2 linked regions of the Macaca fascicularis genome follow. The protein of the gene in region 2 interacts with the protein of the main gene of each other region in a pairwise test. Links are inferred from orthologs where the notes say so. Each region holds a gene or a part of one and is shown on either strand. Other genes may lie near its edges.

The links. The genes of interacting proteins can lie anywhere in the genome.
Region 1: the proteins of CERT1 (region 2) and ACTL8 interact in binary tests that used the Homo sapiens proteins (3 or more experiments, as listed by UniProt). The two-hybrid records come from large-scale screens. The link is inferred for Macaca fascicularis from reciprocal best matches to the Homo sapiens genes CERT1 and ACTL8.

Annotation. Positions count from the first base shown.
Region 1 is NC_088375.1:217,345,474-217,351,232, forward strand, and holds the start of ACTL8 (actin-like protein 8), read right to left. Parts: upstream 3,821-5,759; 5' UTR 3,777-3,820; intron 1-3,776.
Region 2 is NC_088380.1:79,525,303-79,531,052, forward strand, and holds the start of CERT1 (ceramide transfer protein), read right to left. Parts: upstream 3,443-5,750; 5' UTR 3,441-3,442; coding exon 3,355-3,440; intron 3,214-3,354; exon of another isoform or gene 3,102-3,213; coding exon 2,708-3,101; intron 1-2,707. UniProt on the Homo sapiens protein: Shelters ceramides and diacylglycerol lipids inside its START domain and mediates the intracellular trafficking of ceramides and diacylglycerol lipids in a non-vesicular manner.

The DNA of each region.
Region 1 (5,759 bases), on a different chromosome or scaffold from region 2:
GCCTCACAAGGCTGCCACGAGGCTCCAGATTGGATCAGGGATGTGAACGCAATTTGGGGAAGACAAGGGAGTGAATCAATGCATCACATCTATTAGTCACTACTTTTGCAAAGCAGCCAAAGTCAAAAAGCCAGGGTTCAGAGATGCCGCCTCCATCACAGCCACAGAGCACCCAGATCCCTTTGGAGACGTCAGCAGTGCTTTCGAAGCCTCAATTACAAGGGCTGGGAGTGTCATGGAGTGTCACTGCTTCTCACATTTTGGTCACAATATCATCCAAAAGCTGAGGGTGACACTGGGGAAATTACAGTAATTACTCTGCAGGAGGGCAGGCCATGAGAAGTTGGCTGCTCTAAAACCTGGGGTGAGATTTAACTCCCTGGGAGTTGAGAGAGGTCTCGAGGGAACCTCTGCATCGCATCCTAAGACCCGGGAAATGGTACCCACGCCAGATGTAATGAACCCACGGCTCATCAAACCAGGTAGGCAGGAAAGCCTGATGGGTAAGAGCACAGATGTCAGATCAGACCCGTCAGCACTGCCCTGCCACGGGCTGGACGTTGTCCTGAGAAACTTCACATTCCGGGGAGTGGAGACAGATCGTGAATAAGTCAGTGAATCAGGCATTTATAGAGAGTCGGGTGACATGTGCCACGAGGGAGCAACAATGATAGTGTGTGTGGAACGGAGCCAGGGCTCTGGTCAGACCTCTTAAGAGGGGATCACTGAGCTGAGACCTAAGAGATGCTACAGAGCCTGCCATGGAGAGGGGCTTGGGCATGTTACCTCACTTCCCTGGGCCTCAGTTTTCTCACCTGTCAAATGGGTAAGTTATCACACCAACTCCATACGGTTATTGTGAGTGTCTGATGAGTTAATGTGTAAAAAGCAGAGGGTCCTGTCTGTAGGTAGAGCTCAAGCTGAGGTGGTTTGGAGGCAAAGAGTGGGGGACCGTGAGGCCTCCGTGCCAGGCGCTCTCCTAGGCACCAGGACACCACAGTGAGCTAAGGCAGATAAAAATCCCTGCCTGCGTGGAGGTTACTCTTCAGTACACACGGCCTGGACAGCCAAGTTGACATGTTTCTCTTCCTCCAGGCCCACCACACTCAGGGACCCAAAGGAGGAAGGCCAGCCCCAACCTGCTCCGCACAACCCCAGACCCGGTGATCCTTGCCTGCTCATCTCAGGGAAGGAAGCGTCCAGCACTTGCAGTTGGTGCCATCTCCCGACAAGCTGGATTCCCGCAGCATCCCTCCCAACTCCGCTCTGGCTGGAGCCCCCAGCGCTGCACAGTTGGCACCCGGGACTTGTGTGTCATGGTATCTTTACCTGGGTGGATTCCAACATCTCGTGTCTATACAGCCCCCCTACCCAGATCCGGGGGCCCCAAGCCAAGTGCCATCTTGGGCCACTGGGCAGGGGCACAGACAACCAGCAACTAGGCCATCTCCAAGGGAGGCTAAGTGGAGAGATGGAGAGGGAGACGCTGCAGCCTGTTAACACATCAATTTCTGCATGAACTCCCCTGGGGAGCCAGGCGGGCAGAGCTGGAGGAATGAGGGCCTCGAGACAAGTGGAATTTTTTTAAAAGAAATCTTCAGCTATTAAAACCCAGGCTCTCAGGCCACATCGGGCATGCCACGTGGGCCTGGCAGATCATCGGCAGCTGGGACTTGTGTGTCATGGTGGCGAGACAAGGAGGACGAGGCTGAACCCAATAAGCACCAGGATGAGAGGTGCTGTGGAGGGGCCCCCAGGAGCTCAGGCTGCTGAAGTCACAGCATCACCAACCCCACCTCCAAGGGTACCCAGGGCTGGAAACTGCCTGTCAGAACCTCATAGCATTCCTGACCATGCCTAACAGAGCAATAGGAAGAAATATTGGGCTGGAAGGAAGCGAACCCCCCGTTTTCAGGCTGACTTTATGACCAGTCCCCCCTGGCTTGCCCACTGGTATTTGTCCAAGCTTTAGGGAGGGCCAACTATGTGCCGGGCATGGAGCTAGAGGGTCTCTCAACCTGGGCGCTGTTGACAATTGAGGCAGGATGACGGTCTGCAGCAGGGGCCGGCCTGTGCACTGTAGGATACAGAGCAGCTTCCCTGGCCTCTACCCACCCCTTGGGTCACACCTAATGCCAACCCCATCATCGGCCGGGAACTGGACCGTAGTTGCCCACCAAGGGGAGGGACCAGCCAGAGGCTTCCGCCTCCACGAAATCACCAGCACCCCCACAGCCCCCTTCCCTGCACCCACCAGGGCTTCCCGAGCCCCGCTCAGCTCGACACAGAGCTGCTTTCCAACCTTTGCTACTCTTGTCTGGGACATGTTATCAAAAATAATGATTATCATGATAGAAGGCACTAGATCAATCATTGTCCCAGTTAGCCCATTCAGTAAATGGGAAGCTGAGGCTCAGACCTGCTGAGTCATCAGCTGGTAAAGCATGGAACTCCATTACAACCCCTGTTTCCCGAGGGCGGAAGCCCCCACTGCACACTCACAAAACCTGTCGGCCCCAAGGCTCCCCAACCGCTCATCCTTTTTTGCAGAGGGAGAGAACGGGGGAGAAAAGACTAAGGAACATTTTGCCATAAGCCTTCCCCTGCCCCAAGTGCCAGCAAAAACTCAGAAATCCTGGGAACCCTCTCATGGAGAGGGCCTGAGGCTAATGAGGAATAGGAGGGGTAAAACGTTAATGAGCTGCTTACAAAGGCACTCAAGCCAGCAGGGGCATCTGCAGCCCTCCAATTCCTCAGAACCTCCTTCCAGGCTGGAGGCAGGGGACACAGGGGGGACCAGGGGTCCCACAGAAGTGGGGAAGGCGGTTGAGGGACCCACTCCACCCCCAAGTTTGAGATGGGAAAGCCAGTGAGGTCACACAGACATGACTAGGAGGGAACCAGGGATGCCACACCTCCGGGGACCCTTTCTAAAGACCACACCACAAGGCACCCCCATGCTACCTGGTCACTTGACTCTACGGTCTGAAAGCGAGGTCACAGGGGCCATGGGCCAGCTCGGGGCCATCACAGGGGTACATCAACACAGCCCACACACACTCCCACTCCCCAGCCTACCTGGTTTTAGACAACATGAAACCCAGACAGAATGAAGCCCTCAGCACGATGGAAGCCTTCCAAAGACAGAAATTCCATAGCTGTCGCAGAGCCCGCAGTGTCTGGGGACCCACAGGCCAGGCTTTCTCATCCTGCAATGAGGTGTGAGAGGAGGGGAGAACTCCAGACAACTAGGCCACTCTAGCCCAAAGGTCTCAGTCCAAGAGACATCAACTTGCCACAGCGAGGCAAGCGCTTCCCCGCTGCTTTTCCTAGCCTGGCCACCAAAGGCGAACAAGGAATCAGAGGCCTGCTCCTCTCTCTCACACACACACACTCCTTTCATCATTGCCTGGGCCCCACCACGCAGCCCTACCATCCCCACGGACGCAGAGGAAAACTGAGTCCCCAGGAGGCCACGCAGAAAGCGCCAGAGCTGGGAGCCTCTCCACTGCCACCTGGGGCCCACAGCTCAGGAGTCACCGGGGAACAAGGCTTGTGGGGGCACCAAGGAGGCCACCCACACAGGCCACAACCTGACCAGAGAAGCTCGGTTTTTCCTGCAACCCCACCACAAACGCCGGCCCCTGGGCTCCCGCCTGCAGCCCAGGCCCCTCAGGTCGGGAATCAGGGACCAGGGGCTCCACAGTGCACAACCGCTGCCAAGCAGTCACACCCAAGCGCCTGGCCAAGAGAAAGGGACCCATGGTGAGACCTACCTGCTAGGAGGCGAGCCAGAGCCTCTGGAAGACTGAATTCTGATGGCACCTGGCCCAGGTGTGAGCCTTTTAACAGCTGACTCTACGGTCTTGAAAGCGTGGCCGTGGCACCTGGGCCTCTGGTTTTAAATGGCCCAGGGGATGGGGCCTGGTCTGTGCTTGATGGAGCAGTGGTCAGGGGAGGAACAGAAAGTAGCCATCCTTCCTTTCCGCGTGGACCAGCGACAAGACCCCTGGCCTAGCAGTCAGTGGACCCGCCACGAATTTGCTGCAGGACCTCAGAGTCTCAGGCCCCAGAGCCCTATATTTGAAGGCTCGGACTCTCTGGGATGGGGTCATTCATCTCCACCCTGGGTCCTGGGGACTTAGTTATGCTGGACTCCAGGCAGAATTTCCAGCACCTACCATCTCACGGCTCTCCCCAGCCACCAGGAGGCCACGTTTGCTCCCAAGTGGTCTTGTTCTCAGTATCCTGAGTAAGGTGAAGGTTAGGAGTTGGCCTTTTAAAGCCACATTCCTCCAAGAAAGCAGGAGCATCTGGGATCCAGGTGACCTCAGGTGAGCACATGGACCCCTGAGACCTTCCCACCTGAGATGAGGAGAAACCCACGATGTGGCCTCCTTCCCTAGATGCTGGGTGCATTAGAGTTGAGTCATGTGTTAAGAATAGGGCCAGGTGCGGCGGCTTACGCCTGTAATCCCAGCACTTTGGGAGGCCGAGGGGGGAGGACCACCTCAGGTCAGGGGTTCGAGACAAGACTGGCCAAGATGGCGAAACCCCGTCTCTACTAAAAATACAAAAATTAGCTGGGCATGGTGGTGGGCGCCTGTAATCCCAGCTACTAGGGAGGCTGAGGCCAGAGAATCACTTGAACCCAAGAGGCAGCGGTTGCAGTGAGCTAAGATCGCACCACTGCACTCTAGCCTAGGTGAAACAGCGAGACTCAGTCCCAAAAAGAAAACAGAACAAGGTTGGGCCCACATACCCAAAAACCTGCCTTCTCGTGTTCCTTTGGTAATTAATTGTCCCACTTTAAAGGTGAAGCTATGGAGGCCTAGCAAGGTTACCTGGGTGGATCACACAGAGTCTGTGCCAACAAGAGCCCGGCCCAGGGAGACCGCTGCCTGCATCCAGTAAGCAGCCCAGCTCAGTCCCCGGGGGTAGAAGAGAGGGAAGCAGGTAAAGAAGAAACATGCATTTATTAAGTCCCTGCTGCATGCCAGGCACTGCGCTAGGCCCTTTTGCATCCAAGATCTTTCTAAATGCCACAATGGCCAGGCACAATGGCTCATACCTGTAATCCCAGCACTTTGGGAGGCCGGGAGGAATGCTTGAGCCCAGGAGTTTGAGACCAGCCTGGGCAACATAGCAAGACTTTGTCTCTACCAAAAAAGAAAAAAAAGATTTAAGCCACACTGACCCCCATCCCCGAGTTTGCATACGGTAGCTCCTCTTTCCTCCCTCTGCAGTGAAGCACCCACCGCCACCAGCCTGGCACATTCTGGGCCCAGACAGGGATAGGGGCCTGGTTCCCTCCAGTAAGGACTTGTTCTACCTTATTTAAAAGTCACTGCTGCACATAATTAGAGGCACTAACCCCTCGGATCCATCTTTCTCCTCAGATCGGTTTTATAGCCAGTAATAACTCTCGTAAATTCCTCAACAGATGGAAATTTTATTTGACTAATCATGGCCGCTTGACTTGCTGGGGCCCAGCAGCTCGGGGCTTGGACAGGCAAGATGCCAGTTGGGGTGATTGTCAGGGGGTTGGGCAAAGTGCCCAGAACCCAAGGCCACCTTGGCCACCCACTCCTCTGAGGGATGCCATAAGAAGGCATCAGAAAGTGCCTGGCACTGCACAGCAGTGGGCAGCTGTGCCCCACCTTCTGAGTCCAGAAATGTCTCTGAGCAGGGCACCAAGACCCTTTGCCACCCCCCTGGGCTCTTGGTCTGTGAACACATAATGGCTAGCACCAGGGAGA
Region 2 (5,750 bases):
GAAGGGACCCCAGCAATTATGTATCCGTAATTCAATATTATGTTCTTGTAAGAGGCTGAACAAACTATATCAGCTTCACGACTCTTTTCTCAGTAAGCTGTTAGCTGTTATTATGACACCTGGAAGACAAGTTTTTTGTCTTTTCTCTGCTCTCATAATGTTCCCTCACTCTTCCCCATTTAACAAATACAGACAAGGCAATATGCTAGACATTGCAGGAGAACTGAATGTTACTGTGGCAAACAGGCCAGCAAACACAAACACAAGAGAAAAAAATATATATTTAGAATAAAACAAAATGCTATGGGAATTCAAGTGAAGGAGGTCTTGAATGATGGCAAAATACAAAAAGGCTTTACGGAAAGGACAGTATTTGACTTGGACTCTTAAGGATGGACAGAATTTCAAACAGTTTGGTGTGTGCAAAAACAGAAGGTAAACCATGAAGGATGGAGGAAATTCAGAAATTGAATGAGATTATTTTATCCAGCCTTAGTTGCTCTCAAGTCCTACTAAGGCATGCATCTTTTCCCCACCATGATCCATCACGATACTTGTTATAACCAGACAGAATTATTGTCTATCAAGTATTTTTGGAATCTATACACTTAAGTGATTTATAAGAAATATGCTTCATAGGTATTTCCATATATTTCAGATTACCATATGGAAAATACCCTTTGAACTGGTATATTTCTAATATAAATTTACCCAAGCCCATTCCAAATCCACCCCATTTTGGGTGACAAACGAAACAAATTGTACCGGGACTTATTTACATTACTCAATGGAAGGAAAAGAACAAAAGCCGAGTTCTGATCCTTGTTTAAATTACCAGGTGAATATGAAGAATTCAAAATATATAATTTACATTTAAAAACATGCACCATACTCAGTATGAGTATATATATTCAATTTAGAATACCCTTGATTAAAAAGTTTCCAGAAAACACTGTATATAACCATAAATTGGTAAATCTCAGGAAAATTTCCTTCATAGCTATTAGCAAGAATACCAAAAGCTGTATTCCTATTCATTCTACATAAGAAGCAACAGTCAAAATTTAAGTTATTCACCTTCCACAGAGGTGATCAAATGCATTTGTATGCATTTAAATATCGAGATTGGTCTTCCATTTTTTGATCTATAGTATACCTACTCCACATAAAGTAAAACTCAGAGCACTGGTGACTTTTTCCCCCAGTCACTCCATTCCCCCAACCCCCAAAAAAGTAATTATCAGTAGGTCAAAATTACAATTTGTTTTGTAAAATACTCAACACATCACAATACTAATATGGCAGTCAGCTTCCCATCTTATGAGCAGTGATGAAACTATCAAAATCACTGAGAAGCAAGTAACCCACTTCCTATTATCAACTGAAAATGTGTACCTACTACACAATGTGTTCAATAGAGATTCCTAAATTACAGGATACATTTAATGTAAAGAAATCCTGAGGAGCTTCTCGTTACTGAAAACCTTGCATTGAAATTTCAAGAATGATCACAGCATCAATATACAACTAATTTTTCGGCTATACAAATAAAAGTCAACACTTGCAATCCTTAGTTCTGACTACTCATGCCTTTTCTAGTTCCCTTCTCATTAGCTTTCTACAGACATTATAAAAGCATTATATTAAACAATTCCACAAATAATGTCCAAGTGATGTGCCAAAGTATGAATACTGGAAACAGGGTGATTTCTTAATAGCCAGTAGCTGCACATGACATAGTATCTTATGACCAGCTTGTTGAGGGACTGGCCCAGCTCCCCCTCTCCAAGTTAACTGCTAGCTCCAGCCATTTCTAAAAAAGTTTAACAGGAAGGGGGAGAGAAGTCCAAAAGGCTATGTGAATCTTCTTATAGCAAAAACTTAAAAAAAAAAAAAATCCCAACCATGTAATATCAAGAGATCACCCATCCGCAGTTCTATAATGGCTGCTTTCCTAAAATTTTGATACACGGATTTTAAAAAATACATAAAAGGTAAAACATCTTTTCCCTACCCTGGACCCCTTACCGCAAAAAGAGTTTATTATTAAATAATGCTCTTCTTCCTGGACTAAAGATCAGTCTCCTTTCTCACATGTTTCAAGTTACTATGAATATTTCCTGTACCCATCACGTGCCGATTCAATATCTCTATTCTGAACTAAGGTACAGGGTGAGGGAGAAAGTCCTCCACATTAATCTGTCTCACTACATCTAACCTGGCGAGTTCAACACCTCAAATTTCAACACCAAGCTGAGTCGCTCCGGCTTCTGTCGAAACAGCTGCGTCCGCAGTGCCCCCCAACCTACTCGGCTTGGCATCCTCAGACAGACCAACCTCTTTTAAGAGGTCCGACTTGAACCGCTCCCGTGCCCAGTCGTTCGGACACCGCTGAAGCCCAACCCGGATTCCTTACACCCGGGACAGCTGCCGCCCTAGGTCCCAAGGCACGGCACGCATCTGGTCTCCCAAACTGGATCCCCGGTTGATACACCCTTTCCCTGGTCCTCGGCTGCCCCCGACGAGCCCTCGGGCAGCAAGGACAGGCCCCCTATATCCCCGCCTCATCCCTAGTCGCCGCAGCAGTACTCAGCCTCGCACCCCGGCACGTTCCGCGCCTCCCGCCAGCCCCACCCCACCGCCTCAGCGGATTGCCTCGCGGCAGGTGAGTCTGGCCAGGGGTCCCCTGGCACCACCGGTTGCTCACCTTACTGAGGACCCCGCAGCGCTCCACAGGCGGCCCAGATTCCGTCTCTGGATCCTCCTCCGAGCCCGACGAGTTCCAGCTCTGATTATCCGACATGGAGGCGCGACAGCCGAGCAGGAGACCGGCCCCCGCTCCCTCAACTGCGCCGGAGGAGGCGCCCAGTCCTCGGGGTGAAGGGTCGGGGGATGGCGAAGCGAAGAGTGCCAGCTCCGCTGTGGGGGGGAGCAGGAGGAGGGACGAAGTCCGCTCGCCGCGCCGCCGCCGCGCCTGACACCGAGCGGAGCGGGGAAGGAGGACGAGCGGTGAAGGAAGCCTACCCTTCCAGCCGTCAGCCGCCGCCGCCGTCGCCGGGACCCCTGCGTTGCGCCCGGTGCTGCCACCCGAACTTAGACCCCTCGATGCCAATTTCAAATAGCGAAGGAAAAGGGAGAAGAAGGGAAGAGAAAATCCGGCCGCTGAGACCCGAGTACACTCACACCTCCGCTACCGCCGCCATCTTGCTGCCTGGCCCACTATTTACCCTCCCCTCCCCTGTCCTTTCCCCTCCCCTTCGTCCTCCCATTCTCCCCTCCTCCTCCCCGCCCCGTCCCCCTCCCGGCGTCTGACGCGACACGCCAAGCGTGCGGGATCCTCCTCCCGCACCCTACCTCCGGCTCTCCCGGATGACGAGGGGTAGAAAAGTAGGAGGAGCGCAGTAAGGAGAGGGCGGGATAGGGATGCCGCTGTGCTGCATTCTGGGAAGGGCGTTGGTTCGTCGCTCGCCCAGCCTCCTGGGAGTTGTAGTCGCGATCCTGAGGTAACGGGTGAGTATCCCGCGCGGGGATCGCTTGTCGCCTTGGGGACTTGTCAGTCGGTGGGTGGGCTTCGTTTGACAGTTGCGTGACCTGCCTCTTGGCCTCGCTTCTATCCTTGCCTTGTGTGTTTATGACGAACCCTCCGGGCTTGCGGGCCAGGACGTGAGAGAGCTTTCTGCTGAAGATGACGGGCCTGCGTTGCAGGGCTGCTTGTCGAAAGCCCGGGAGCGCGTAGCCGCTTCCGCCTCAACCACGGGATGGGGTTTTGTGAGCTCCTAGTGCCAAGGGGGTTTTCTTTCCACCAGACCACCGCTGTAAATCTCGAGGGTCTTACCCATTAGAAGTTAGAATTCACATTTGACGTTTAAAGGAAGAATTTCCTTAGTACCTTCTGACAAGCACGCACTTCGCATTTTTAGATTTCTAGAATTTTCTTTGTGGAAAGTAATTTTGAGGTTGTCAGAGAATAAATAACGTTAGAAAGGTTTTTAAAGTAAAACAAGAATGTCAGATGATAGCCTGGGATTTTCTCTTAGTTGTAAATGAATATCTTACTGAGAACCACGTTAACCATGCCTGCCCCTCAAAGATAGGAAAGTTTGGATATATAGAAACTTTCTCGTATTAGAAATACGAGATTAGGGGATTAGGCAATAGGTGGCTATTTTTAAGACTAGGGTTGAATTAGCAGAAAGACCAAAAGAAGATCTAACAGCTCTTGTCAGTTGTCAAGGATAACTTTGATGGTGAGACCTTTGACTTTGTAGCTTCAGTAATTTCCTCTCGTTAGCTATTTTAATATAGTCGAGTTCCTGATAATTGCCAAGAGTAAAATTTGTTATTAAGCCTTAGAAAGAATACCTTTTTTACTACAAGGATGGGACAATAGGAGCGAAATTTCGAGTCTAAGGGAAAACGCTAGCCGAGTGCCGTGGCTCACGCCTGTAATCCCAGCACTTTGGGAGGCCGAGTTGGGTGGATCACCTGAGGCCGGGAGTTTGAGACCACCCCGTCTCTACTAAAAATACAAAGATTAGCCGAGCAGGGTGGCGGGTGCCTGTAATTCCAGCTCTTTATATCCTGGTTTCAAATCTAGGCTTGATGACCTTTTCCCATATCCCAGTCTCCTATTTTTTACTTCCTCAATGGGGGATTAATTACGATTCTAAATGTTTGGTAGCATGAAGCTAGGTTATCTCTATCGTGGCAGTGGATATTTAAGTAGGCATTGCCAATATGTATCTTGCTTTCTTTTACTTCCTTTTCTGACCATCCACACTCCATTTATATTGATGAATTCTTTTACTAATGTCAATTATTACTGTATTATGCTCATACTGCCATGTCTTATTCTGCAGCTTTGATCCTTAAGGTGACTTAGCATATCTGTCTAAGACTCCTTTATCTGTTGATTTTTACCATTTAAGGTTCCAAAGGCAGCTGTATTTTTGGAAAAGTGGGAGGGAAGAGGTAGATGGGGGGTACTCATTGATACCTTAATGCACTTCACAGCTACTTGAGAATATGTCAGATCCCACAAAAAGTTCTAACATTCGAGAATAAGACAGTGATTTCAGAAATGGAATTTCAAAGGGTGTGTAGGCCACCCTTTTTATTCTGTTTCCTGTTGTACAAATGAGAGCCAGGCTAGGAATGTTTCAAGGAGAAATATTCTTACTATTCAATGAAATTGAAAAATATATTCCCTTATCTTTTACTCATATCTGTTTGGTTTATGGGATAAAAACTTGTTAGGGTAGTTGGTATTTCATAGGCTTCACTATAACATTGAAAAACCTTTTAGTCTAAAAATCACACAGTACAGTACACTGATGAACAGTATTAGTGCCCACTCTTGGCATGTACACATGTTCTTTCTTTCGTTTTTATTTTGCTTAGCTTTTGAATTGCTTTTCCTGTTAGATTGAGAAATTATTTTATTAATATTTTAAAGGCATACTATATAAAGCAGTGTGGTGGTATCTTATGTATCAGTAGAATCATGATAGTTATTTTGTAAACGTGTTTTGCTTCCTGTTTTTTTCTAACCCTTTTATTGTTTCACTTCTATAATTTCAAATCCTTTTCTTCTTAGTCAAATAAGTTGAAAAAATATTTCTATAGAGCATACATGTTGCTATGGTGATAGCTTATGAAAATATAGTTTATCCCTGTTTAAGATCTTTATTAAGATCTTGCTATATGATCATCTGAGATACTATAAAAGTAAAATATAAACCATTTCTGTA